4 linked regions of the Stegostoma tigrinum genome follow. The protein of the gene in region 2 purifies or fractionates together with the protein of the main gene of each other region. This does not show direct contact. Links are inferred from orthologs where the notes say so. Each region holds a gene or a part of one and is shown on either strand. Other genes may lie near its edges.

Region 1 (7,473 bases), on a different chromosome or scaffold from region 2:
GCAGTCTCCTCTAACCTTGCACACTCTGGACCACATCGTACATTTTTGAGATTCTCATTCCCTGTGTATCCACACACTCTCCCATGTGCTTCTCAGTTAGCTATCAACAATTTTGGTCTCTCCCCCACCGCCCCAACAAACTCTCTGTACTTTTCAATTTTCTTTACGCTGCCCACATTTAAAGCCTCAAGAAGGCTGATATCTATGACTACATCTTTATTCAATTTTCTAAATTGTTAATCCTCTTCTCTCTGTGGAAATTACTATCTTGACAGCCACTATAAATATTAAAATTGCTGTCAAGTATTTTTACATGGCTGGTGGGGGGGGGGGGGGGGAGAGGAACAGGAGATGGGAAAGAAATATCAGAAACCTAGACTTACAATCACTGGTGTTCTGATAATAATCAGAAGGTAACAAAAGTAACCTGAATAAGTCTATTGCAAATTTCATTTTAAAATGAGGAAATATCGTAAATTGAGTTGTACCAGAAGAAATTTGTCAAGGTACAAGCTAGTCATTTGATGAACGTGTAGATATGACAACTCCAGAATTCATCAATATACAGTTAGTTTTAAAAAGCACATTACACCAATTCTCAAACAAAATTTAACTATCTACAATTGTTAACACAAAACATAATTTGTAATTAAGACCAAGTTATTCAAAGGGTCAGTGACAGCAGACAAAAGTACTAGACAGAATTTCCAACATGGGTAAAATGTACCAACAATGGCATCGTAACATCATGCACAAGTGATAGAACCATGCATCTGGTCAGAATTTATAGGATTTCTGTTTAAAAGATGAAACAGTTTCTTAAAAGGTTCTAAGGTAAAGTTTGCCTATTTGCCCTTGTTTCTTGTTCCAGCACAAGCCATTACCAACATTTATAATAAAGCAAATAATTGATAATCAAGTTGCCTCTAGTTCAAAACAATTATCTTATATTCTTAAGAATGTTAATTCTTCAGTAAGTAAACGTATTGGGCTCAAATCACTCAAGTTCAGATAACCATTAAAATCTGTGATGAGAAAATGCCAAAACACAAGTTTACACAGTTTCCACCAAGGACATCATAGAATCCTCACAGTGTGGAATCAGAATATTTGGCCCATCAAGACCACACCAACACTCCGGACAGCATCTCACTCAGGCCCACCCCCTAACCTATTCCTGCATTTCCCACCCTAGGTACAATCGGCAATTTAGCATGGCCAATCCACCGAACCCACACATCTTTGGATGCGGGAGGGAACCAGAGCACCCAGAGAAAACCCACGCAGGCACAGTGAGAACATGCAAACTCCACACTGACAGCTGCCCTAGGCTGGAATCAAACCCAGGTCCCTGGCACTGTGAGGTAGCAATGCTAACCACTGAGCCACCGTGCCATCCCAGTACATCAACATAATTCCATAAAGAATGCTGGACAATATATAAAGCAACAGATATGAGAAGCTCAGACAAGAAATGAGAAGATGTTCTGTCAGTGCAGGGGATTTGGAGCCAATTAGATAAAAATTCCAGTGCCACATATTGATGGCATTTTTGACGAATATTGAACCAAAGCTTGAAGCTATTAAAAAAGTGCTTTTTATTAATCAACTTTCTACTGAAATGTGACATACCAAAGTTCAATGTCTGTGCCAAATGTGCCACATACAAGTGATCCATTTGTACAAGACAAAACAGATTAGTCTACAGTGAACAGAAAACAGGAGTTTCCCCACCACAACAAGTACAATAAGTACTAACTTCACAATGCCTTTTTGTTTCCCCTTGACTGCATTATCTCTACTAACACAAAGTAAAACATATAACAACGGTGAGACAAATTGCACAAGTTGGCTCCTGGAACAAATAAGTAAGTTCATTTAATTAGTACCTGAAATAATGAGGCCCCATATCACTTGCAAATGACAACTGCGTACGTAAGTAAGCTCTCGTATGTTTTCAATTTTCGGTAATGACAAGCCAGTGGCTTCAAATTCTACATGTTTTGTTAAAATAGTTGAAATTACAAATCTGTCAACACAAGTCAATAAACTTAAAATATGGCAATTATCCGTATGAAAACAATTGTTCAACTATCTCACCTTGCCTCCTCAAAATTCTTCAGTCCGAGATAGCTAGGGTTTTACTTTGTTGGTTTACAACTGAGGAGGTATTTTCTTTTATTTCGATCGGGTAAGTGGTAAATAAAGGAGTTCTTTAGACACAACCCAAGCGAAAAGTGTTGAAAGTGGTCAAATATAAGACATTATATTTCAACATCGTAATGCCTGGTTATCTTAGGCAGGTGGATAAATTCAGCACCAATTCGTTGAGATACACCAGACTGGAGACAAAAAGAAAACTTGTCCAAACAAAGACGAACCTGATATGGCGGCGGCGGCTCCTGATCTATTTCGGTACCGTCTCCGTAACTCGCCCGGTCAGAAGACTCATGGAGCAAAGAAATATCATCTGACGTAGGAGACTTCAAACAATTTCCCATATTTTTCCTTGAATATTACACCGTATTTACCATCACTGCAAGATCCGGCGTGGGAAAGGCAAGGAGGAGAAAGCTAAAAACTGACAGAAAACGGGCGTTAAAAAAAACAACGCACGCTTCTTTTCGGGAAACGTCGCTTCTTCCCTCACTACCACCGAAATCAGAATTTTTTCTTTCCTCTCAGGAAGGAAGGCCGCTCGTTCTTCTTATTCTCTCTCACCGAAAGCAAAACAAAAACAAGCCGCCCTGTAATTCAGGGTGTGTGGGGGGGTGGGGGATGGAAAAAGAAACAGAAGCTGCTGGCTCACTCCCAACTTCTCCTTAACACGGCAAAATATACCCTTTCTTGACCATTCACCTACTGAAGGGAGAGACCGGGTTAAGCCAGCAGCCAACCCGTACCTCCCTCCAGGCCAGAAGGGCCGTAGAGATACACCCTTCCCCTTCGCAGCTTTGACCCTTTCTCTTCTCCCCCTGCGCCTCGAGAAGGGCCTGTGTGCGTGTGCGCTGACGTACGGCGTCAGCAGCCGGCGCGCGCAGGCTGTTGCTCGCCCCGGAAGGAACGGTGCAGACAACCTGCAGGAAAGGCATTCTCCAAGTTTCCCATTACATCGAACTAGTGGGTTCTTTCGAAAACTCCTTTTCGCCCGTTTAAGCGGTCGATGTGGCTCATCTTGCTTCCTTGTCTTGACAATTGTCCTTCCCCGGCCCCGGCGAAGGCTACATGCCAGATCCTGCTGTCGCAAAAACCAGGCAAAAAATTACCCGGAACCCCGAGGATGTCAAGAGGTCGAGAAATGGCAATTCAAATTCCACCTCAGCAGTTAGAAGATTACGTTCAGTGAATTAAATAAATCTCGAATTAAATATTATCATCAGTAATAGTGGTTGACAATAACTGCTCAACCGATTTACTAATTGCCTTAAGGGAAAGAAATCGGCCATCATAGCCCAGTCTTGCTCGTATATCTTCTGGTTCGCAGCTTTGTGGCTGACTCTTAACGGTCATTTGATCTGGCCATGATACTAAAAGTTATCAAAATGGACTGCGAATAACTCAATGTGGAGCTGGAGGAAGGCAGCAAGCCAGGAGGGTCCCGACCCGAAACGTCAACTTTCCTGCTCCTTTGATGCTGCCTGACCTGCTGCGTTCCTCCAGCTCCACACTGTGTTATCTCTGACTGCAGCATCGGCAGTTCTTACTATCTCTACAGTGGACTTCATTGGCAGTTGTTACCATCTCGACAATGGGCTGCTGTGTTTTAAGCCCCAATTTCACATGAGGTAATTAAGGATGGGCCGTGAATGCTAGCATTGTCATTGTTACCTCAACAAGCCGTGAATGTATGAAAAAATGTTCTGTGCCTGGTTGTACATGACTGAACTGCGAATCCTGATCCCCAGAGTTGGATCCCAAAATAGAAATACTCACTTGATATACTCACTATAGCCATTGTGTCATACAGCACGGAAACTCACCTTGGTCCATTTCGTCTGCACCGACCATGCATTCCAATCTGAGCAAGTCCCATTTGCCAGCATTTGGCCCATATCCCTCTAAACACTTCCTATTCATACACCGGTCCAGATGCCATTTAAATGTCCTTATTTTACCAGCCTCCACCACTTCCCCTGGCAGCTGGATCCACACATGCACCACTCTCTGCGTGTAAAAATTACCCCTTGAGTCCTTTTTGAACTTTCCCCTCTCGCATTAAACCCACGCCGTCTAGTTTTGGACTCTCCCACCCTAGGAAAAAGATCTTGGCTATCCGCTTCATCCACGCCCCTCAAAATTTTATAAACCTCTGTAAGGTCACGCCCCAGCCACAGACAGTCCGGGGGTGGCGGGGGGAGCCCTAGCTATTCAGCTCTCCTTATAACTGGAATCCTCCTGTCCCGACAACATCCTTGTAAATCTTTGCTCTACCATCTCAAATTTAGCATCAACCTTCCTATGGAAGGGTGTCTTGACTTGTAGGCTGTATTCTAAAAGTGGTCTCACCAATGTCCTGCTTGGCCGTAACATGACGTCTCAACTCCAGTACTCATGTTATTTATCTACTGAGTATAAAAAATTAATCACAAATATTAAGATATTTTACTTACTATTAAGGAGTAATGTTAGTGTGAATGCCATATCTAAGGCGACTGTTAGGTTGCACTGAAGGGGCAGAGAATCACAATGAAGTGTTGAGTTGGAAGAAAGTGACTCTGTGAAGTTCCATATTGTAGGGCTTTGTGCCCATGGGAACTTGAGCATGTTGGAATGTGGGATAGTGACCGTAAGGATACTTTGGAGTAGTGTGGTAAATCAGTTAAGAATTCAAACACTATTTGGATTTTCATTTTTTTGTTTTTTTCAATAGGATTTTGTTCCTTTCCGAGCGTTCATCCCCTGTTAGGAAATCTATGTAATATTGATAAAACAGGTTAACAATCTTTTGAAATCAGATTCGAGGTTTAAATCTTCAAAAACAAATATACCCAGAGCCAGAATAACAGCTTCAAAAGGATTTTGCAATCCAGCCACTCCCAAGGCAAACCTGCTGTAATACACTCTCAAAGGGTGATGACAATCTACAAGTAGTGTTTTGGTTCTGACAAGTGTCCTCCAGTTTCTTTTAGAAGAAACACGTTTCTTCAGAGGTGAAATGTCTCCATTTTCTCAGAACTGGCGTGATAAGAGACTCAAGACCCAGGCTGAAGAATTGACAAATATCGCGGTAATGGCTTTGGTTCCGATTAGTGTTTTGTTTACGCTGCCACCGTCCAATTCCAAACAGTGCCGGGATACAAGACCATTCTGTAATCGCCTTTGCCGCCGATGGTACCCGGGTTCTTTGGTTCAATTATTTCAACAGCGTTATTAAAATGAAGATTGAACCGAACTCACCAAAATTAGCATGTTGTCCGTCACTTCTGCATTCCCACTGTTCTGTCAAAACCCCCAACCATCAGCTAAACAATATCTAGCTCTTCAGGTGACATGGGATAACAAGATGTAGAGCTGGATGCACACAGCAGGCCAAGATGCATCAGAGGAGCAGGAAGGCTGATGTTTCGGGCCTAGACCCTTCTTCAGAAAAGGGGCATTATGATACTCTGCCCCTTCAGTGTAACCTAACAATTGCCTTAGACATGGCATTCACATTAACATTACTCCTTCATAGTAAGTAAAGTATGTTAATATTTAGAATTAATTATTATTCTTTTTCTGAAGAAGTGTCTAGGCCCGAAACGTCAGCTTTCCTGCTCCCCTGATGCTGCCTGGCCTGCTGTGTTCATCCAGCTCTACACCTTGTTATCTCAGATTCTCCAGCATCTGCAGTTCCTGCTATCCCTTCAGGTGACATCCTGTGTCACTACATTTCCTCCAAAATAGCTTGACAGCAATCTTCTTTCAAAGGCTAGTCTGCTGTCACAGCACTTGACAGAGCGACACAGGATATTTAAATACATCTAATATTTAGAGGCACCCTCAGAAGGAAACAATCGCTGAGTATCTTTGTTTCATGGAACAGGTGGCCCTTCAACTTCCAGGCCACTGGATAAGGAACAACCAGACTATATTGTGCCAAAATAATCCAGCTCTGACGGATATGTGACTCCTGTCCAACAGCAAGTTAGTGAACAATCGAAATTGATGGAAAAGCTCAGCAGGTCTGCCAGCATCTGTGGAGAGAGTTAACGTTTCGGGTCCAGTGACCCTTCCTTAGAAAGCTACTGAACATATTTTTACATCGAGCGTGTTACGACACATACCTGGTGAAAATAGGATTTGCAGTTGCTTAAAAGGTTAAGTTTCCGTTCCGCCACGAAAACTCTCCACAACATGCTGGGTTCTTCGTTGTTCAATTACAGACGTTTGAGAAAATACAGTCCAGGTGTGTAACAGTCCAGCCAGTGATACCCATCCTCACACCCCTGTCACATTTGCAACATACCTCAGTGCTGCATGGTTCCAAAAATGAACAGCATCCATTTGCCAGATACATCTCACCAAACCGTCATGCGTGGAAACTGGGGAACACGTAGGGCAACGTTGGGCAACGCTGCTTTATTACAAGTTTTAAAAATCCACCAACTATGAAGTATAAAATTGAGCAACAATTACGATGTTTGATTAGGCGGTAAGGAGTCGTGTAACTTTTTTTGTGTTTGGAGCTTATTTAAATTGTCAAGAAAGCTGTGAAAATTTCAAACAGAAATATATTCCCGTTTGAACGCTAATTTTGCTCGCGAGCCGCGGTTTCCTCGGGTTCGGAGCGAAACTCCTGCAATTCTGGTGTCTCAGGTTCGATCCCTGGAAGTTTGACTGTATACTATGACATGGGGAGCGCAGGCAGTATGCCCCGGTGCCCCGGCTCGCCTGTAAAGACAGGTAAAGCTTATCCACACTGCCCTCCAACCCCACCACACCCGGCACCTTCCCCTGCAACCGCAGGAAATGCTACACTTGCCCCCACACCTCCTCCCTCACCCCTATCCCAGGCCCCAAGATGACTTTCCATGTTAAGCAGAGGTTCACCTGCACATCTGCCAATGTGGTATACTGTATCCATTGTACCCGGCGTGGCTTCCTCTACATTGGGGAAACCAAGCGGAGGCTTGGGGACCGCTTTGCAGAACACCTCTGCTCGGTTCGCAATAAACTGCACCTCCCAGTCGCGAACCAGCCCAGCTCTTCCCCTCCCCCCACTGCATCCCAAAACCAGTCCACCCTGTCTCTGCCTCCCTAACCTGTTCTTCCTCTCACCCATCCCTTCCTCCCACCCCAAGCCGCAGCTCCCTATCTCCTACCTACTAACCTCATCCCACCTCCTTGACCTGTCCATCTTCCCTGGACTGACCTATCCCATCCCTACCTCCCCACCTACACACTCCTCTCCACCTATCTTCTTTTCTCTCCATCTTCGGTCCGCCTCCCCCTCTCTCCCTATTTATTCCAGAACCCTCACCCCATCCCCCT
Region 2 (7,391 bases):
GGCTATCCACCTCACTAATGTCTGGGCCATCAGTGAACTTACTGATTAAACTTCTTACGTTCAAGGCTAAACCATTTATATATACCACAAACAGCAAGCGCCACAATACTGATCTCTGCAGAATCCCACCTGGCACAGGCTTCCAGTCAAAAACACATCTCAACCATCAGCCTCTTCTTCCTGTCATTCAGCCAATTCTGGATCCCATAGGCTTTTACCTTTGCTATCAGTCTCCCGTACAAGATCTTATCAACTGCCTTGCTTCCAATCAATTACGTCCAATGTATTGCCCTCATCTACACACCCAGTTATCTCTTTGAAGGATTCAAATTGGTCAGACATGTACTCCGCTTAACGACACTATGTTATTATTCTTGATGAATTCTTGCCTATCCAAAAGGCAGATTAATTTTGTACTTCAGAATTGTTCCTATTAGCTTCCCGACTATTGGGGTTAGATTGAGATGCTAGGAACTGCAGATGCTGGAGAATCTGAGATAACAAGGTGTAGAGCTGGATGGACACCAGGCCAAACAAAGGAGCAGGAATCTCTATCGCTTCCCTAACTCCCCACCTACATTCAACTTTACTGGCTCCATCCCCGCCTCTTTGACCTGTCTGTCTCCTCTCACCCTACTTTCTCCTTTATCCATCTGCTATTCACCTCCCCCGTCTCCCTTTTCATTTCAGAATCCCCTTCCCCTCCCCCATTTCTGAAGAAGGGTCTTGACCCGAAACGTCAGCCTTCCTGCTCCTTTGATGCTGCTTGGCCTGCTGTGTTCATCCAGCTCTGCACCTTGTTATCAGAGGTTTGACTGACTGGTCTGTAGTTTCCTGCTTCATCCCTAGCTCACTTCTTGAATAACAGTTTGAAAACCAAGCTAAACTAATGTCAAATCACAAGAACTTCTTTTAAAGGTGTTCTTGTATGTACTTTGACCCTCTTCTGATTTATAGGACAATCAAATATGTAAGTTCATAAATGCAAAAACTCCAAACTGCAGTAACTGAAAAGGCTGTACTCTTAGTCACTGGTCAAACCATGGGTTCATGCAGTCCTATACAGTACTACAAATGAATTAGCTATCAAGAGGAGGTGATTTAGCAAAATATCTGCAACTTGGAGATAACTGTCCAGGTGGCCACAGCAAACGAAGCATCATGGGCTGTGTAAGAAAACCAGACATTCAACATAAATATATTATAGGTATCAGGCTTGAGACAAGTCAAGATTTTGTTCAAAAAAGCTCTCAACATAAATACTTAGCATGAACAGAATTCAAGACCTGTAATTTAAGATACAGTTTTAACTAATTTCAAATAATATTTTGGACATTAATTTGAATACTGACAACCAATAACTTTCATACAACCATAAGCCATAAACAACACAAACAGCAAACTAATACACTATTAAACACGAGAAATTGAGGCTTTGCACTCTGCACACATCTTCCTAAAGTAATTATGATTAAATTTCATGTTACGGTCTTAACTCCTTGGCTAAGCATATGGGTGATGATGGGATAGTGTAGGGGGAGGGGCTTAGATTAGTTCACAGGTCGGCGCAACATCGAGGGCCGAAGGGCCTGTTCTGCGCTGTATTGTTCTATGTTCTTTTTGATTTTACAGAGAAGAAATTTTATTTTACAAAGACAATCTAAATTCAACGGATTTGCAGGGCTTTCCTGAATTATACCAGCTGTCATTTGAGCAACGTTAGTGGGTCACGACAACTGTAATTTTCCTTTTCAGATTTTTAAATCTCCCATATATCTATACACAGTAATTACAAAGCTGTAAACAGCTCATCGGGCTGTATACTTGCAGATATTACTGGGCCTTTTTTAGAGGCCTGGTACTAAGATGCTGCAATATTCTACTTCTGTCAGCAGAGGCAGAGGAATCCAGGAATTCTCGGATCTTGGAACTTGCAAGCAAGGGGCGGGCGGGGAGTCAGCTACAGCTGACAGGAATCCAGAAAACATTTTTAAAACACCCTGAGAAAATGCATTTCGTTAAACGGCAAAACCTGCAAACGCTGCTCCCTCTTCAATCACATCGGGTGCCCTGGATTGTAATGCCCACTACCAGCAAGAAGATCGAGAAAGATTTTGGCCAAAAGCGCTTGTGTACAAATATTAAGACGTGCTGCTGGCTGCTTCGTCATGGTCACGGACACTTTGTGATTGCCAGGAGGGCAGCATGCAGTTGGAATTGCAGTGGTCCCTTCTCACAAACAACAACCGCCCGCCCCCACACACCACAACCAAGCCATCTCATCCTCCCGGCTCGAAGACAGAGACCAGACAAGAGTCCACTTCAGTCCCGAACACAAACTAAACCCATGTCTCCCAGTTGGCCCAGGTCAACTCTCATCCATGTATCAGCAATTTTAAAGAAAACAAACCTGGGGGGGGGGGGGAGAAGAGAGCGTGCTGCAAATGTCCACTCCTTTGACAAGGAGTTTTATTAATGTAACATTTCTATTCTCCACAGTCTGGATTGAGTAAGAGGTGCCAGCTGAAACTCGGCTGGAAAGCCGGATCAGCAGCTCCATGTTGTCTCTCCTTCCCCCAGTCCCGACCCCCAGGCCCTTTGCCGGCATTCGGTTTATCTCCATGGGCTCAGGGTCGGGGCCTCGGCCTCCTCCGCCGTGGCTGCCCTGAGGGAAGGGAAGGGGAGGGGAGGGGAGGGGAGGAGAGGCAGGGCCCAGCCGCAGCCTCCTCCATCCCCATCACTCACAATTCCGGTCAGAACCCAGAGCGTCCGAAGAGTCTCCCTGCTCGGAGTGGGCCAAACGGGAACAGCATCCAAACCGGACGGACATACAGACAAGGGCCACGGTTTGCAGCCCGCAGTCCGGGGCCTACACCACTCACCCGTTTAAAGGCCGTCCTCACCCTCCTCCTCCTCCCTGGCCCTGCCGATCCGGCTCTGGCTCCCCCTCACTCTCCGTATCTCCGCTCCGCCGCGCAGCCCCACTCGCCAATCCCCATCTCCGGCGCGGCACCGTCACCGCTCGAGTGCGCGCGACACCCCGCGAGTGCGAGAGCGCGCACGTGCGACGCCCAGACCGTCCGGACGGCGCGCACGTCAGAGCCGTGCTCCTCTTGCTTGCTGTCCGGCGGTGCACCCGCGGTGTCGGGGGAGTTGGAAAGCTGTAGGGTGTTTATGCTGAACGGCTAGAGCAATTGTATCTCTCTAAATGCACCGAGTAAACGATGTTCAGATTCTTCAGCCTCCATCCCACAAACATTCTCAGGCGGTATTGTGTGTTCAAGCAATAAAAGCAAAATACGGAGGACACTGCAAACCTGAAACGAAAACAGAAATTACCTGAGAAACTCAGGTCTGGCAGCTTCTGTGGAGAGAAACTGGGGTTGCGCCTCCAGTCCAGAATGATACCTCGCTGACCTGCAGACTTTGCCACATGCAGAATAAGTTGTGCTTGAAGGGTCAAGAACATTAGGTATTTGGAGATTTCTGTGCTGTCACCAACGCTTCAGTTTTGCTTCAGCATGCTCCCAATGCCTTCCTTTTGCATTTGAGTTCATCGACAAGCGAGGGACTCCCATGAGGTGATGGGAAAGTTCATGCCTTTGAGGGCATCCGTGAAATGTGTCTGAAGTCTTCTTCGGAGTCTCTTGCCACAACAAAGTTCCGAACAGCGCAATTACTTAAGGAATCTGATGTCTGGGACAAATAGTATTATATGCTGAAGATATAGGATAAACGATAGCTAGCCATCTTGTCAAAATCTGCGCATAGAAATCCTCGCAACCTGCACACCGAGAATTCTACGTACTTCTAGGCAGCACATTATATAAATTTATCTTTTACTGCCAGCAAATTCAGAAATTGAAACAAGTTGCTGGAAAAGCTCAGCAAGTCTGGCAGCGTCTGTGGAGGAAATATCAATGTTAACGTTTCGGGTCCAGTGATCCTTCCTCAGAACTCAAGGTTCTGACCTGCTCAGCTTTTCCAGCAACTTCTGTTTTTGCTCCTCATGTACAGCATCTGCAGTTCTTTCAGTTTTTGTTACGTTCAGAAACTGGTCACCTTCTGCTGTAAAAGTCATTGAGACAGGTATGGTTGATCACATACTACAACCATAATAACATATAAAACACGTGCTTAACAATGTGCTTTATCAGTAAAAATATTTTTGACTGTAGCTGGAGGAAGTATAAGAACAAATGGCCAAAAACTTGATCAAAAAATTGGTTTTAAGTAATGTATTAGATAGAGTAATAGAGGTCTACAGCATGGAAACAGACCCTTAGGCCCCACTTACCCATGCGTCCAGTTTTAGATTAGATTAGATTACCTACAGCGTGGAAACAGGCCCTTCGGTCCAACAAGTCCACACCGCCCCTTGAAGCATCCCACCCAGACCCATTCCCCTATAACCCACACACCCCTGAACACTATGGGCAATTTAGCATGGCCAATCCACTAGACTGCACATCTTTGGACTGTGGGAGTAAACCGGAGCACCTGGAGGAAACCCAGGCAGACACGGGGAGAATGTGCGACTCCACACAGACAGTCGCCGGAGGCTGGGATTGAACCTGGGTCCCTGGTGCTTTGAGGCTGTAGTGCTAACCACTAAGCCACCAAGGTGATCTCATTGAAACCCCTGAAGTGGTCTCAATTAAACTAGTCTCATTTGCATACATTTGGTCGATATCCTTCCATATCTATCCCATCCATGTATGTGTCTAAATGTTTCCTAAATGATGATGAAGTTGTAGTCACTTCTACCACTATGTCTTGCAGGCTGTTCCAGACACTCTCTACCCTCTGTGTGAAAAATTTGCCCCTCTAGATCCTGGTTTATGTTTTCCCTCTCAAGCTAAACCTATGGCCTCTGGTTTTAGACTCCCCTTCCAAGGGGAAAAGCTGTTGGCTATCTACCTTATCAATAACTCGTATGATTTTGTAGACATTCATAAGATTGCCTTCAGCCTTCTTTGCTCCAAGGAACAAAGTCCCAGCCTATCCAACCTCTCCTTAGAACTCAAACCTTCCAGTCCTGATAGAATCCTAGTAAATCTTTCTGAGCTCTTCCTAGTTTACTTATATTCTTTCTATAATGGAGGCCAGAATGCATGCAGTGCTCCAAACATCTTGTATAGCTGCAACAAGACATCCCAACTTCTATACCCAGTGCTCTGACTGATGAAAACAAGCATGTTGAAAGTCTTCTTCACCACTCTGTCTACCTGTGACTCTAATTTCAAGGAGCTATGAACCTGTACCTTTAGATCTCTGTCCTGCTCTGGTTTGACCCCCCAAAACGCAACATCGTGCCTTTATCTAAGTTAAACTCCATCTGCTATTCCTCAGCCCACTGGCTCAGTTGATCAAGATCTCGCTGCATTCGAAGATAACCTTCTTCACTGTCACTATACCACTAAGTTTCATCCATACCCCCTAAATTCTCATTCAAATCATTTATATAAATGACAAATAACAGTGGACCCAGCACCAAACCCTGTGGCACACTGCTGGTCACAGGACTCCAGTGTGAAAAACAATCTCTTATCACCATCATTTGTCTTCTACTGTCAAGCTACTTTTGTATACAGTTGGCTACTTCTCTCTGGATCTCATGAGATATAACCATACTCAACAGCCTTTTGTTTGGTATTGTGTCAAAGGCCTTGCTAAAGACCATGTAGACATCATCGACCACTTAGTCTTCATCTACTCTCTTGGTCCCCTCTTCAAAAAACTCAAATTCGTGAGACATGCTGACTATCCCAAATGAGTTGTTGCCTCTCCAAATGCCCTCGAACAACTCACCCATCACAGATGTTAGGCTCACCAGTCTATAGTTCCCAGGCGTTTCCCTTCAGTGTTTCTTAAATAATGACACAACATTAGCCACCCTCCAATCTTCAGTTGCATCACAGGTGGCTGTTGATTATACAAATATCTCCACCCCCTGCAATTTCCTCCCTAGCCTCTGACAATGATACTGTTCATTGGGTTCTGGGGATTCATCTACCTTAATGCTTCTTAAAGCTTCCAGCACCTCCTCTTCTGTAATGTGAATTCTTTTCAAGGCATCACTATTTATTTCCCCCAAGTTCCCTCGTGTCCATTCCATTCTTGATGGTAAATATCAATGACAAATATGCATTTAGGATATCACCCATCTTTTTTGGCTCTGCTCATAAACAATGTTGTTGATCTTTAAGAGACCCTATTCTGTCCCCAGATACTCTTTTGCCCTTTGTATACTTGTAGAATTGCTTTGGATTCTCCTTTAACTTATCTGCCAAAGCCATCTTGTGTCCACTTTTAGCCCTCCTGATTTCTCTCTTAAGTGTACTCCGAAATCCTTTATACTTCTCAGGGAATTCACTTCGTCCCTGCTGCCTATACATGTCATATGCCTCCTTCTTTATTTTGACCAGGGCCTCAATAACTCATCCAGGGTTCCCTGCTCCTGCCAACCTTACCCTTCACTCTAACAGGAACATGCTGGTCCTGAATCCCCATCTCAATTTTGAAAGCCTTCCACTTACCAGATGTCACTTTACATGCAAACAGCCTCCTGTAATCAACTTTGAAAGTTCCTGTCTAAGACCATCAAAATTGGCTAAGCCCAATTGAGAACTTTAGCTTGTTGAACAGACTTATCCTTTTCCATAGCTAAGTTAAAACTAATGGAATCATGGTCACTGGTTCCAAAGTGCTACTGCATTAACACTTCCATCACTTTCCCTGCCATATTTCCCAAGAGAAGCTCAAGTTTTTCCCCAATTCTAGTCGGGTCATATACATACTGATTGAGAAATTCTTCCTGAACACACTTAACCAATTTATGCCCATCCAAGCCCTTAACACTATGGCAATCCCATTCGATGTGAAGGAAGTAAAAATCCTCTACTATTACAACCCTATTAGTCTTGCAGCTATCTGTGATATCCTTACATATTTGCTCCTCAATCTCTGGCTGACTATTTTGGAGACCTATTGTACAATGCTATCAAAGTGATCCCGTCACCTTTTTGTTTCTGAGTTCTACCCATATCGACTCAGTGGATGAACCCTCAAGAATATCTTCTCTCAGCACTGCTGTGATGTTCTCCCCAACCAAAAACACTACTCCCCCTCCTTTCTTGCCTCCCCTTCTATACTTCCAATACCATCTGTGCCCTGGAATATTGAGCTGCCAGTTCTGTCCTTCCCTCAGCCATGTCTCTATAACAACTATAATATCCCAGTTCCCATGTTCCCATGTATCCATCCATGCCAAAATTCATTCGCCTTACCTGTCAGGCCTCTTGCATTGAAATAAATGCAGTTTAACACAGACATCCCTTCCTTCCAGCTGTGCCCTTGCTGGCCCTGCCTAGTCCTGAGAATGGCAACAC
Region 3 (7,775 bases), on a different chromosome or scaffold from region 2:
AAGGATTACAATCTTTGAGATCCTGCTTTTTAATCTGCCACCTAGCTCCCGAAATAAGCACCGCAGGATTTCTATACCTTTAAGACCTTCCTTAAAACTTATCTCTAACCAAGCTTTCCATCTTTTTCTGATATCTCTCAACATTTTGACCCTTTCTCTTTGGCGTACCTTTCTATAGTAAGGAGGTTATTAACTTTCCTGTTTGTTTTGTATAGTATGAATGGAAAACATACATGCGCTGATTACTAAGTTTGTGGATGACTCCAAAATTGGTAGGGTTGCAGATAGTGACGAGGATTGTCAAAGGATACAGCAGATTTGGGCAAAGAAATAGCAGATGGAGTTTAATCTAGACAAATGAAAAGTAATCCATTCTGGGAGAACAAATTCTGATGTGAATTATATAATAAATGGCAGAATCCTTATGTGCATTGATGTGGAAGAATCTGGGTGCACAGGTCCACAAATCCCTGAACATGTGGATAAGGTCATCAAGAAGACATACAGAACGTTTGGATAACAAGGTGTGGAGCTGGATAAACACAGCAGGCCATGCAGCATCAGAGGAGCAGGAAGGCTGACATTTCAGGCCTAGACCCTTCATTAGCTGGGGCACTGAATATAAAAGTTGGCAAGTTATGTTGAAGATGTATAAAATTTTAAGTTAGGCCACATTTGAATACTGTGGGCAGTTCTGGCCACCAGACAACCAGAAGCAAGTGGATGCTCAAGAAGGTTTACCAGATCAGGCAAGCTTTAGTTACGTGAAGCTGGATAAACTCATTGCTTTTTTTCTGGAAAGACAGAGCTGAGGGGTGACTTGATAGAGGTCTGCAAAATTATGAGACATGGATAGGGTGAATTGTCAGAGGATTTCCCCCAAGGATGGAAAGGTCAATTACAAAACAGCGCAGGTTCAAGGAGAGAGAGGGTGGTCTGAGGGAGAAGTGCAAGGAAGATTCTTCACACAAATTGTTGGGTGCCTGGAACACACTGCTAGTGGACGTTGTGGAAGCAGGCATGTTAGCAACAATTAAGACATATCTTATGGAGGCACAGAAGTGGAGGCAAACAAAGGAACAGAAACTGTGTATGGGAAACCTTAATGGACCTTAGACCATAAGACCATAAGACACAGGAGTGGAAGTAAGGCTATTCGGCCCATCGAGTCCACTCTGCCATTTAATCATGGCTGATGGGTATTTCAACTCCATTTACCTGCACTCTCCCCGTAGCCCTTAATTCCTTGTGTGATCAAGAAATTATCAATCTCTGCCTTTAAGACATGTAACGTCCCTGCCTCCACTGCGCTCCGTGGCAATGAATTCCACAGGTCCACCACTCTCAGGCTGATGAAATGTCTCCTCATTTCCGTTCTAAATTTACCCCTCTAATTCTAAGGCTGTGCCCACGGGTCCTAGTCTCCCTACCTAACGGAAACAACCTCCCAGCATCCACCCTTTCTAAGCCATGCATTATCTTCGGTGTTTCTATTAGATCTCCCCTCAACCTTGTCAACTCCAATGAATAAAATCCCAGGATCCTCAGCCGTTCATTGTACGTTAGGCCTATCATTCCAGGGATCATTCGTCTGAATTTCTGCTGGACAGGCTCCAGTGCCAGTATGTCCTTCCTGAGGTGTGGGGCCCAAAATTGGACACAGTATTCTGTTTGTGTGCTGTACTGCATTGAATAATGCAAGTATTATTTAAGTATTATAAACTGCACATCAGTTCAGTGTATTACCAAATTCTTGAAGGCCTTGAGTTAAACTTACAACTAAAAAGCAAAACCAGTGCACAACCATGGAGAGTACAATGTAAATACATTCAGCAGAAAGATTCTCGTATAGAAAAATAAATTTGTAAGAAGTATCAACTAGAATTGCTATTCATTGCCATAGAAAAGCTGCCAAAGACCCTCCCACCCCAATAATACTCTCTTCCAACCTCTTCAATCAGGCAGAAGATACAGAAGCCTGAAAACACATACCAAATGGTTCAAGAACAGCTTCTTCTCTACTGTTAGACTACTGAAAAAACTCTCTAACATCAAATAGTGTTGATCTTGCTTCATGCATCTGCTGTATAGCTGAAACCTCGTGTGCCTTGCTGTAAGCACCCTATGATCTGTATGTCCTTGTTTGCAATGAACTGCCTGTACTGCTCACAAGACAAAACTTTTCACTGTGGTTAGGTACACATGACTAAAATAAATCAAATGTCTGAGAATTAGAGGCTGAAGAGCTGATCGAATCACGCGGCTTAAAGCTAAGAGGTGAATTAATAGTGGAGTGGGGTAGCATAGAAAATTGGATCCACTGTTTAGGGAATCAAGATCCTGCGCAGTGTAATTTTAAAAACTGGTACTCGTTCGTTTAGGGACTGTAAGCAGGAAACGTTTATATCCTCTTAAAAAACCTTAAGAAACTATAAATGCTGGAAAACAAAAACACGATCAGAACTTTATTTTTGCATGTGTTCTCTAAAACGGTCACCGAACTCCAAACATTAACTGTTTTCTCTCCACAGACCTTCAGAGATTCTCCAGCAATTTCTGTTTCGGTTTCCAAAGTTCGTATCCTCACCACACTCGCGCGTGGTAATAGAAAATTGTAACTCTTCCCAACCACCCTCCCCCCAAAGTTAAGTCAACAGAAAGTTTAGGATCGATGCCTTCGAAGGTTACCCACAGGACGTGAAACAAACTTGACTAAATGGGACTGATCTGCAAACACAATATACCCGATCAGCAAATTCCAACCCACACCTACTGACCAGGCAGCCAGTAACCGGCCCCTCCTCCCCTAGATAGGCCTCTTGCTCCCAGTAATTGATGGATTTCGGTTCGTGGGGGGAAAAGAATATTTCCCGAACTACAACTGAACTTGTTCAGAAAGAAAAATAAACCCACACCCACCTATCTGTCCGTCTGCTCAGAGTACAGATGGACGACACCTCCTTCAGTGAGTGACCGTGTGACTCGCAGTCACATGAGCAGAGGACAAAGGTCACGCCACGGTCACGTGCCTTCCCGTCTCCAGTAGCAACGAGGAGACGGTGGGATGCTTGTCGCGAAGGAGCGTGTTTGGAAACTGTGCCGAATTTTTTCGAGTCGTCCATTTGTTTTACTTTTATGCGTGCGGATGTTTCGTGTAAATTAAATCAAATGGACCGTTTGTGATTCCAATGACATCTGCCGCATGCCGATAAACTAGTAAACAAAGTGTGGAGCTGGATGAACACAGCAGGCCAAGCAGCATCTCAGGAGCGTAAAAGCTGATGTTTCGGGCCTAGACCATTCCTCTGATGAAGGGTCTAGGCCCGAAACGTCAGCTTTTGTGCTCCTGAGTTGCTGCTTGTCCTGCTGTGTTCGTCCACCTTCACACTTTGTTATCTTGGATTCTCCAGCATCTGCAGTTCCCATTATCGTCGATATACTACTTGTTCTAGATACGTACATTAATAGGAAATGCTTGGAGAGACATGGGCCAGGTGCAGGCAGCTGGGACTAGTTTAGTTTGGGATTATGGTCGGCATGGACTGTTTGGATCGAATGGCTTGTTTCTCTGCCGTATGACTCTGTGACTCTAGTCTTGGCCATCAGTCTGCAAATCATCTGCCACAAGGATTATTGTGGAGCGGTTGTAGTATCCCTACCTCTAGGTCTAGTAGACCTGAGTTCAAGTCCCACCTGCCTCAGAGGTGAGTAATAGCATGTTTCAACGTGCTGATTAGAAAATATAAGCAACTGATTCGGATTCTTGGTGATGAGGTTTCCATATCCCCGTTCCCTTATGTTTAAAACAAATGTAAACCAGCTGCTAATCCTCAACTACTGAATTGTTATGGTGCAAAAAGAGGCCTTTTAGCCCATTGTGTTTGTACCAACTATTCAAGTGAGCATTTTTACCTCGTATCCTTCAACATTATTTTTATTCAAATAATTTTCCAATGCCCTTTTGAATGCCTCAAGTGAACTGCCTCTGTTGCATTCCATGTCATGCTTCCAGACAACATGCTGTGTGAAAAAGTCCTTTCCTTGCATCAAATTTGCTTGTTTTCAAATGAGTTTAAATCTGTGTCCTCTGGTTCTTGACTGAGCAGTAACTGACCCTCCCTAACCAAGTTATCAAGTCTTGATGATTTTTGAAAATTCTATCAAGTCTCCTTTTAGCCACAAAAACAAAGTTGCCGGTAAAGCTCAGCAGGTCTAGCAGCATCTGTGAAGGAAAAAACAGAGTTAATGTTTTGGGTCCGGTGACCGTTCCTCAGACGGCTTCCTCTTAGCCATCTTTTCTCCATGGCAAACATTCCAACTTTTCAATCTATCCTCGTAATTGAAATTTCTCACACCTGGAACCATTCTTCTCAATTGCTTCTGCACTCTTTTCAATATATTCACATCGCTTCTGTAATGTAGCACACTGAACTGTACACAATACATGAGCAACGGAAAAGTGACCCTTCTGAAAAGTCACATGCAAAAGAAGGGACTGGGCACAAAAATGTAATGATATTTCCTGACTTAAGGATGGAGGAGAACAACCTTGACATAAGTTACTGTGTTTCTCATTTTCACGACAACTCACCCAGTCTCGTGGGGTTTGGGAAATCAGCAAATTTGCAAAGCAACACTTTGTAGCTTTTCACCAGCTTATCGACCCCAGCAACTTTCACTGCATTCATATAGAACATAGAACATAGAACAGTACAGCACAGAACAGGCCCTTCAGCCCACAATGTTGTGCCGACCATTGATCCTCATGTATGCACCCTCAAATTTCTGTGACCATATACATGTCCAGCAGTCTCTTAAATGACCCCAATGACCTTGCTTCCACAACTGCTGCTGGCAACGCATTCCATGCTCTCACAACTCTCTGCGTAAAGAACCTGCCTCTGACATCCCCTCTATACTTTCCACCAACCAGCTTAAAACTATGACCCCTCGTGCTAGCCATTTCTGCCCTGGGAAATAGTCTCTGGCTATCAACTCTATCTATGCCTCTCATTATCTTGTATACCTCAATTAGGTCCCCTCTCCTCCTCCTTTTCTCCAATGAAAAGAGACCGAGCTCAGTCAACCTCTCTTCATAAGATAAGCCCTCCAGTCCAGGCAGCATCCTGGTAAACCTCCTCTGAACCCTCTCCAAAGCATCCACATCTTTCCTATAATAGGGCGCCCAGAACTGGACGCAGTATTCCAAGTGCGGTCTAACCAAAGTTTTATAGAGCTGCAACAAGATCTCACGACTCTTAAACTCAATCCCCCTGTTAATGAAAGCCAAAACACCATATGCTTTCTTAACAACCCTGTCCACTTGGGTGGCCATTTTAAGGGATCTATGTATCTGCACACCAAGATCCCTCTGTTCCTCCACGCTGCCAAGAATCCTATCCTTAATCCTGTACTCAGCTTTCAAATTCGACCTTCCAAAATGCATCACCTCGCATTTATCCAGGTTGAACTCCATCTGCCACCTCTCAGCCCATCTCTGCATCCTGTCAATGTCCCGCTGCAGCCTACAACAGCCCTCTACACTGTCAACGACACCTCCGACCTTTGTGTCGTCTGCAAACTTGCTGACCCATCCTTCAATTCCCTCGTCCAAGTCATTAATAAAAATTACAAACAGTAGAGGCCCAAGGACAGAGCCCTGTGGAACTCCACTCACCACTGACTTCCAGGCAGAATATTTTCCTTCTACTACCACTCGCTGTCTTCTGTTGGCCAGCCAATTCTGTATCCAAGCAGCTAAGTTCCCCTGTATCCCATTCCTCCTGACCTTCTGAATGAGCCTACCATGGGGACCCTTATCAAATGCCTTACTGAAGTCCATATACACCACATCCACAGCTCGACCCTCATCAACCTTTCTAGTCACATCCTCAAAAAACTCGATAAGGTTTGTAAGGCATGACCTACCCCTCACAAAGCCGTGTTGACTGTTTATGTTTAAGGAATATGCTGTGGTTGTTTTATGGTACGTTTAGCTTCTAATACACCCTTTACCTGTTTTTGCTATTCCATTATTTTTCCTTCTGTGTATTCTATTATTGAACATTTTTCATTAGCTCCTCAAGGCTCTCCTTTGCAGTTGTGTTTTAGGGAAAAAAAGGGTCCCAACCCGTAACATCAACTTTCCTACTCCTCTGATGCTGCCTGGCATGCTTGTGTTCCTCCGGCTCCACACTGTGTTATCTTTGACTCCAGCATCGGCTATCTCCTCTGGAATCTATTTGATGCTTTCACTTTTAATGTGTTAAAAAGATATGGGAGGTGCCTTCTATGCCGTTAACAAACTGTAACAAGCAATCAAGCTCTAAAATCTACCATTTCCAGTTGATGTCTTTCAAGATGGTGGGTTTTTGCTCAGATCTAGACTTAATGCATTCATCCTACATACTTGGGGAGTAAAAGAATACTCTTCCCCACACACTTCACTCAATTTCAAGAATGTGACAGTTGTAACTATCTTCAAGAAGGAAGGTCAGTCATGCTGTCAGAACAATGATGCTTCCCTCTTGCCCATAGCAATGAAAATCCTGACATATTCTCCTAAGTCACCTATTTCCTGTAGCTAAGGATATCTTCTCATAGATACATTGTGACTTTATACTTTCCAGAGGAACCTCTGACGTGGTCTTTGCTGCCAGACAAATCCAAGAAGAATGGTGAGAATCACATTCAATGTCCTGACCGAAACATTTGACTCAGTAAATCACAAGGCTTTGTGGTTCTGCTTCAAAGGTTTGGATGTCCAAGAAAATTTATCATAGTATGAATATACAAACATACGAACAAAGAACAGGAATAGGCCACTTGACCCTTCGAACCTGGTCTGCCATTCAATAAGATCATGGCTAATCTGATTATACCCTCAACTCCAATTCCTGCATATCCCCAATTATCCTTTATCCCCTTGTTAATCAAGAATCTATCTACTTCGGCCAAAAAAATTTAAAGATTCTGCATCCACTGCCTTTTGAGAAAGGGAATTTTAAAGTTTCGCAACCTTCTGAGAGAAAATGTTTCCTTGTAAATGGGTGACCCCTTATTTTTAAACTATGACCGCTAGTTCTAGATTCTTCCAGAAGAGGAAGCATTCTTTTAACATTGGTCACGTCCACTCAGGACTTACATGTTTCAATTAAGTCACATCTGAATCTTTAAACTCCAGAGGATAAGGTGCTAGCCTGATTGGCATTTCCACACAAGATAATCCACTCATTTTAGGTATTAGTCTGGTAAACCTTCCGTGAACTTTTTTAAACACGTTAACATTCTCTGTAAGTACAGTGACCTATATTGTGTACAGTACTCCAGAAGCAGTCTTACCTTGTGTAACTGAAGCATGACCTCTCTGCTCTTGTGTACAATTTCTCTCAAAACTAAGCATAACATTCTATTAACTTTCCTGATTACTTGCCGCACCTGCAAACTAGCCTTCTGCAAATCATGCACTAGGGCATAAGCTCTCTGTATCTCAGAGCTCTGCAACCTCTCATCATTTAGATACTGCATTTCTTTTTTATTCTTTCTGCCAAAGTGGACAATTTCACACCTTCATACACTGCATTCCATTTGCCAGATCTTTTCCCACCCACTTAATCTATCTATCCACTTAACCTAAGCTCCTTATGTCCTCTTAAATCACTTTTCTACCGCTCTCTGTGTAACATCCGCAAATTTAGCTACTATACCTTTGGCCCCTTCACCCAAATCAGTTACATAAATTGTAATAATCTTCCATCTACTTCATGAGAATATGA
Region 4 (7,185 bases), on a different chromosome or scaffold from region 2:
CAGCACCTGTAGAGAGAGAAACAGAGTTAACAATTTGAGCACAATATAACTCTTCAGGGCAGAAGAGTTCGGAAGAAAAGCCGTGGGGCTTAAATTGTTGACTCCTTCTCACTCCACAGATGCTGCTAAACTTGCTAACTTTCTCCAACACATTTTTTAAATTAGTTCAGATCTCCAGCATCCACAGTATATTGCTTTTATTTTCATTTTTATCATGCCTTTCACGACCTTAGAACATCCCAAAACTCTGCAATGTCAATTACATGCTTTTCAAATTTTAATCATTTTTGTAATATCGAAAATCTAGCAGACGCTTCGAAAATAAGGTCTTCTTTGAACTGTACCATGGGATTTTTTGCAACTGCCCAACAGGTAGACACAGCATCACCGTGAAACCCATCAAAAGGAGATTGCAGCTGAGTGCAACTTTTATTTTAAAATATCCATTCACAGGATACAGTCTGGCAAGGCCAGCATTTATTACCTCATCAATAGTCCATAAGCAGGTGGTAGTGAGCTGCCTTGTTAATCCACTGCAGTCCATATGGTGTAGATATGCCCACAGTATTGTTAAGGGGGGAGCATTGGGATTATGACTCAGCAATGAGAAAGTAACAGAGGGACACAGCATGACTAGGGACTCACATCTGTGTGGTCTCTAATGCCGACTGGCAGTTGTATTAGTGATGGGCTACAAACTGACTTTGTACACAATTTCAGTTGCAGGCATGAGATTAGGTGAAAATACGTTAAATAAAAATCTGAAAATTGAGGAAATATTTATATATTCAAATTGGTTAAAAAGGATTACATTGAACATTCATTTTTTCAAAATAAAATTAAAAGAATGACATGCAATGATATTGTGCTTTCCATGTGCAGTAGACATCTCAGCGATTTACAGCAATGAAGTACATTTGCAGTGTAGTCACCATTGTAATGCAGCCAACTTACAGTAATATATTTCTGTCAAATGTTTTGGATCCCTTAGACTTTAAACGAAAGCCAAGAAGAGCTGAAGATATTGGGTTCTGGTTTTGAACAGTGAACATTAATCAAAGCTAAGGTCATCCAACAGCGTGGTAAACATAACCTGATATCATAACAGGTTTATTTAAGAGGTAGTGTTATCTCCACACTTCTGTAACAAACATAATTCCAATATATAAACAATAATCAGATTGTCCATTATTCCTGATTTTATTGCTTCAGTCCAAAATTCCTATTGCTTTTCATAGCAGAGTTACCATAGTGCAAGTCTAGGATTCATTAAACTGCTGGATCTTCTTGAAAAATGTGACAACATTAATGCAAGGTTGATTTCGTCTGGTGTTTATGCCACAGATTTCCCCCAAATTTGAACTCCAGCATACCTATAGGTCATATGCTTCAAAACTGCGAGTTTATAGTTGATTAGTCCATAATGTGGATCAGTGACAAATGGGAATTCAGATCAGATTGTTTACACTGCTGTAACTAAATGTTGTCAAATTTAGTCTGCTCGAAGAGGCACATTGAAAATATGTAAAATTTAATAAATATGAAAATATAGTTGGAGGCTTCATTCAAAACTTTATACAAATATTCCAATTTTTTACACAAGTGTTAATATTAAATGGTAAAACTGCAAATTCTATTGCAAGATGCGTTCACTAAGTGAACTGTCTTCTCAAAGTCAACACCATCTTTTGTTTCCAATACGGTACTTCAATCAGAAAACAGAATCGCAACAATGCAGAAGCCAACTTGGAACAAAAAGCCATATTTTGACAAATTTGAGCAACGATCCAACGTCAAAATTCAAGTAATGCACTTAAAAATCATATTCTTATTTAAAATTTTGCTTTCATATTTTGAGAATTCATCTGAACAATGCAATTCCTTATGATTAAGTAAAAGAAATTAACCCTTGTCTCCCACACAAAGAGTCATCGCCTTCATCTATCAGTTTACACTACAGTCTGGAAACTTTTGCAAAGCGTTTATTCCAGTAAAGCATCTTTTAAGTGTGGAATTTCGGCAGAGATGGCATTTTCACAATTATTTCATTAGTCAGCCTAGCCACCGAAACGCGAGACGGTCTCTTTAAATATACTGCAACAAAGTACAGGCTGAAGTTAGCCTCCTTGGAGGGCGGGCCATAGATTTCTGTTATAGGAATTGTATTGTGAAGAGTTGAATCTAAACAAATACTCGCTGTCATACCTTGGCTTGGACCTTCCCCTCACCATCAAGGCGGTTGGAAAAAAAGGGGGCTGTCGAGGAATGCTGGCATTTGAGCCGGAGAGTAAGGCAGACAACCTCCCTTTAATCGGCATGTCTGACTTACTCCTACAAACCACTCAAGGACAAGTAGAAATCTTGGATCAAAAGGCTATGCTTCTCTGGTATATCTATCTTTCTATAGTCAATCAAATAGGCAAGCTCTTGGACTTAGGATCTCCAGTTCCCTTACCTGTTTACATGTCTTTATTGTGTCTGATCAGTCCATTAAAACCACAAACTGCACGCGTCCCTTCAAACTTTCCAACGTGTTTTCTTCCTTTCTTGTTTGGGGAGTTGGGGGGGGGGGGAGGAGAAAAGTTTCCACAAGCAGAAACTAGCACAAAAATCCCTTTCTGGATAAAGGATCCACTCGTCTAAAGGACCGCGGGACCAGGGTCCGTCTGCTCACCAGAAGTGTTTGAAGTTACACGGAGAGCCCTACCTCATCCGCTCAAGAACTACTTTTGTTTGGTGAAACTTTCTTTCTGCCCACTTTCTTGTTTGCTATTCTGAACTCTTCAGCAGCTGCCAGCGGTCCGAGAGCCTTTGTGATCGCCAAGTTGTTTTGTTTTAACCTCCCTCCTTTCTTTTTTCCTAGTCGTCCCCTTGCAGCCGAGACTATTTTCGATTAAATAACATGGTCACAGTTTGTGGGTTTGGAAAAAAAGATCTGCGCCTCGTGACATCAGAAATGTGGAATGTGAGGAATGTGAGCTGATGAAGGGCTGAGATGTCGTTGCTTCTTAATGGTCACACACCGAAAACACACCCAGGCAACGTCGATTTAAAGCTGTACTGCAACACTTTAGCTATGTAATCGATTTGGTTACTTTGCCCATGCAATATTTTAGCGTAATCGGTTGGGGGATTGCTCTCTTAACAGTGTGCTGCACGATTCCTCTTGGCCGGATTAAAATCAACATTGCGCTCTTTATACATTAAAAGTACACTGCATTGAACACCTACCAGGTAATGAATTCTTGCAGCAATGCATTTTCTTTCATTGGGAATTCACACAGTTCGTTAACCGAGCTGTGGGATTGTTATGCTATGTGGATATACCACTGAACGATGACACTTACTTGTTCAGACCAGCTCACGAGCGACACCATGTGGGTGATGCTGGACTTTAAAGGCGTTGACTTTAAGCTTGCATTTATATAGCTCCAGACTTCCGATGGCTGAAGGACTGCATGACCAAGTAGATCCACCTACATATTTCTTCTCTTTTTGACTCAACTCGCCTTAGCCCTAAAAACAAAGCCATCAATATTATTTGAGATAATGGGAACTGCAGATGCTGGAGAATTCCAAGATGATAAAATGTGAGGCTGGATGAATACAGCAGGCCAAACAGCATCTCAGGAGCACAAAAGCTGACGTTTCGGGCCTAGACCCTTCATCAGATGATAGGCCCGAAACGTCAGCTTTTGTGCTCCTGAGATGCTGCTTGGCCTGCTGTGTTCATTCAGCCTCACATTTTACCATCAATATTATTTAATCTTTCTTACTTCCATGCTTTAAATCTCAGTCAGTACTCATTCTATTTGAATGCCTATTTTACAATCCTGAGTTCCAATTTAGCTAAGCTCATCCAGAAGGCTTCCCATGAAAAATATTCCAATTGAAACATTGAAAACATTTTAAATTTGAATAACTCCTCCAGTGTAATCGCAGTGCACTAAATTGAAAGTGTTATCGCATAAAATTTGGCACTAAGGAATGCATTGATACATTTAGACAACTGACGAAAATCTTTATCCTAGTGGGAGATTGGAGGGGATTTTAAAGAAAGGGAAAAACAAAGATTTTTTGGGAGGTTAGGGCTCAGCTACCTGAAGGTATGACTGATGAAAATTGAGAGTGTGCAAGTAGTGAGAATTGGAGATGTACAGGTATACAGATCTCAGAGAGTCATATGTTTGAAGAATTTTTGGAAATAAAGGGAGCAAAACCATGAATGGATTTGAAAATAGTGGTGAGAAAACTAAAATTGGGCTCTTTCCATGTCAGAAACCAATGTTGTTCACTAACCACAAGTGTGACAGGAGAATGCGATATGCTGTCTGTTGGGATAGTATCCTCTCCCCATCCCCTTTTTCTGATGAAAGGTCTAGGCCCGAAACGTCAGCTTTTGTGCTCCTGAGATGCTGCTTGGCCTGCTGTGTTCATTCAGCCTCACATTTTACCATCAATATTATTTAATCTTTCTTACTTCCATGCTTTAAATCTCAGTCAGTACTCATTCTATTTGAATGCCTATTTTACAATCCTGAGTTCCAATTTAGCTAAGCTCATCCAGAAGGCTTCCCATGAAAAATATTCCAATTGAAACATTGAAAACATTTTAAATTTGAATAACTCCTCCAGTGTAATCGCAGTGCACTAAATTGAAAGTGTTATCGCATAAAATTTGGCACTAAGGAATGCATTGATACATTTAGACAACTGACGAAAATCTTTATCCTAGTGGGAGATTGGAGGGGATTTTAAAGAAAGGGAAAAACAAAGATTTTTTGGGAGGTTAGGGCTCAGCTACCTGAAGGTATGACTGATGAAAATTGAGAGTGTGCAAGTAGTGAGAATTGGAGATGTACAGGTATACAGATCTCAGAGAGTCATATGTTTGAAGAATTTTTGGAAATAAAGGGAGCAAAACCATGAATGGATTTGAAAATAGTGGTGAGAAAACTAAAATTGGGCTCTTTCCATGTCAGAAACCAATGTTGTTCACTAACCACAAGTGTGACAGGAGAATGCGATATGCTGTCTGTTGGGATAGTATCCTCTCCCCATCCCCTTTTTCTGATGAAAGGTCTAGGCCCGAAACGTCAGCTTATGTGCACCTAAGATGCTGCTTGGCCTGCTGTGTTCATCCAGCCCCACACTTTGTTACCCTGAGTCTTCAGCCAACTGTTTTGTAGGGACAATGTGCAGGACTCCATATTTCTGACTCTGGTTTACTTTGTCACTTTCTGTCCACATCTCAATCAACAATAGTAGAGCCATTACCTCAGCACTTTGGAATTCACTTCTCAATGTCTTTGCTTTTGTACTTTACACACTACCTTTGAAGGCCCTGATAAGTTTGATTGTTGATGCTTTAAATTGTCTTCTTTAATTTCTCCTCTATTTCTCTATGTTGTGGTAAACAGTTTAGGATATTATATGAGCCACTGCCAACACCAATAAAAGGGGCAGATAAGTGCTGGAAATACTTTTGATAAAGAAGGGGGTGGGTATTCATTGCTGTATAGGATTTATGAAAAAAAACCTCCATAAACATGAATTTACATTTCATGAAATTATTTTCTGAAGGAGGAAATCACAGGGCCCTGACCCAATTTTTTACTCCCTCTTTGGCCATAGAAGTGCCTGAGGACTGGAAGACAGCTCATTCACCTGTCAAGAATAGTACAGCAATAGAACAGTGAAGTGCTCATGAGCAAGCGTCACATCAACGATAGGGAAACTTTTGAGAAAATTCTGAAGAAAAAAGATTAATCTCCAGTTAGAGAGCAAGGTTTGCTCAGGGGTAGTCAGCATGGTTTTGTCAGAAGAGGTCATGCTGAACAAATGTAACTGAACTTTTTGATGAGCTGCCCAAGTATGTAAATGAGTGTAGTGCTGTTGATATAATTAACATAAATTCCAGTTAAGACTTTCAACGAGGTTCCACATGGGAGACTGATAAAGAGGGTAACTTAGCAAGTTGGTTCCAAAATTGGATTAAGTGTCAGGAGAGAGAGTGTGTTGGGAGAAGACTGTTTATGTGACTGGAGGCCAGTGTCCACTGATGTACCAAGGGATTGGGGCTGGGTCCCCTCTTGATTTTTGATTTTATATATATATATAAATGATGTAAATGAAAATGTCAGAGAAGATGATAAGTAAGTTTGCAGATGACGTAAAAATTGACCAGGTGGTTGACAATGAGGTAGAAGGTCTTGAGCTTTGGGAGGATATAGACAGTTTAGTCAAATCTGTGGCAGATAGAATTTAACCCTGATATGTGTGTGGTGTTGCACATTAAAATAAGTGACAAGACACAAAGCACTGAAGGAAACTCATAAGAAACAGAGGGATCTTGGGATGCTTGAACACAGATCCTTGAAGTTGGCAGAGCAGGTTAATAGGGTAATTAAGAAGGCAATAGGGACACTTGCCTTTATTGGGGCAGCACGGTGGCTCAGTAGTTAGCACTGCTGCCTCACAGTGCCAGGGACCAAGGTTCGATTCCAGCCTCAGGTGACTGCCTGTGTGGAGTTTGCACATTCTCCCCGTGTCTGCATGGGTTTCCTTCGGGTGCTCCAGTTTTCTCCGACAGTCCAAAATGTCCTAGTGCAGGCTAGATGGATGGGCCATGATGAGTTGTCCATAGTGTTCAGGGATGTGTTAGGTGGGTTATAAGGGGATGGGTCTGGGTTGGATGCTCTAAGGTTCAGTGTGGACTTGTTGGGCAGAAGGGCCTGTTTCCATACTGAAGAGATAAATATGATCTGTGATAAGTCAAGACATAGATGTAGAATTGTTGAAGTTCATCCATGTGTTCTCTAAATGTCTGCCATTGTCTATCCACCATCAACCTGTTAAGTACCCTTGCCTAGTTTATCCTAGCCAATACATGCCTCATACCATCAAAGTTAGCTTTCTTTAACTTGAGGACCCTAGACTCAGATTTAACTGTGTCACTCTCCATATTAATGAAGAATTCTACCATATTATAGCTAATCTTCCCAAAAGGATGTTGTACGACAATGTTGCTAATTAATCCTCTTTCATTACACAATACCCAGTCTAAGATGGCTCTCTATCTCATTGGTTCCTTGACATGTTGGTCATACATTCTAGGAAATCCTCCTCCATCACATTACTATCAGTTTGGTTAGCCTAATCTATATGTAGATTGAAGTCACCCAT

What was found.
Region 1: the proteins of NEDD4-like E3 ubiquitin-protein ligase WWP1 (region 2) and rnf11b purify together in Homo sapiens (affinity purification with mass spectrometry; 3 studies listed by BioGRID, with this or other methods). This does not show direct contact. The link is inferred for Stegostoma tigrinum from reciprocal best matches to the Homo sapiens genes WWP1 and RNF11.
Region 3: the proteins of NEDD4-like E3 ubiquitin-protein ligase WWP1 (region 2) and sparta purify together in Homo sapiens (affinity purification with mass spectrometry; 5 studies listed by BioGRID and IntAct, counting the BioPlex papers as one, with this or other methods). This does not show direct contact. The link is inferred for Stegostoma tigrinum from reciprocal best matches to the Homo sapiens genes WWP1 and SPART.
Region 4: the proteins of NEDD4-like E3 ubiquitin-protein ligase WWP1 (region 2) and tyrosine-protein phosphatase non-receptor type 14-like purify together in Homo sapiens (affinity purification with mass spectrometry; 3 studies listed by BioGRID). This does not show direct contact. The link is inferred for Stegostoma tigrinum from reciprocal best matches to the Homo sapiens genes WWP1 and PTPN14.

Annotation. Positions count from the first base shown.
Region 1 is NC_081361.1:63,166,583-63,174,055, reverse strand, and holds the start of rnf11b (RING finger protein 11b), read right to left. Parts: upstream 3,006-7,473; 5' UTR 2,502-3,005; coding exon 2,382-2,501; intron 1-2,381. UniProt on the Homo sapiens protein: Essential component of a ubiquitin-editing protein complex, comprising also TNFAIP3, ITCH and TAX1BP1, that ensures the transient nature of inflammatory signaling pathways. Promotes the association of TNFAIP3 to RIPK1 after TNF stimulation.
Region 2 is NC_081358.1:85,846,375-85,853,765, reverse strand, and holds the start of NEDD4-like E3 ubiquitin-protein ligase WWP1, read right to left. Parts: upstream 3,015-7,391; 5' UTR 2,883-3,014; intron 1-2,882. UniProt on the Homo sapiens protein: E3 ubiquitin-protein ligase which accepts ubiquitin from an E2 ubiquitin-conjugating enzyme in the form of a thioester and then directly transfers the ubiquitin to targeted substrates.
Region 3 is NC_081359.1:84,998,698-85,006,472, forward strand, and holds the start of sparta (spartin a), read right to left. Parts: upstream 3,011-7,775; 5' UTR 2,920-3,010; intron 1-2,919. UniProt on the Homo sapiens protein: Lipophagy receptor that plays an important role in lipid droplet (LD) turnover in motor neurons.
Region 4 is NC_081362.1:57,060,639-57,067,823, forward strand, and holds the start of tyrosine-protein phosphatase non-receptor type 14-like, read right to left. Parts: upstream 3,009-7,185; 5' UTR 2,708-3,008; exon of another isoform or gene 2,456-2,707; intron 1-2,455. UniProt on the Homo sapiens protein: Protein tyrosine phosphatase which may play a role in the regulation of lymphangiogenesis, cell-cell adhesion, cell-matrix adhesion, cell migration, cell growth and also regulates TGF-beta gene expression, thereby modulating epithelial-mesenchymal transition.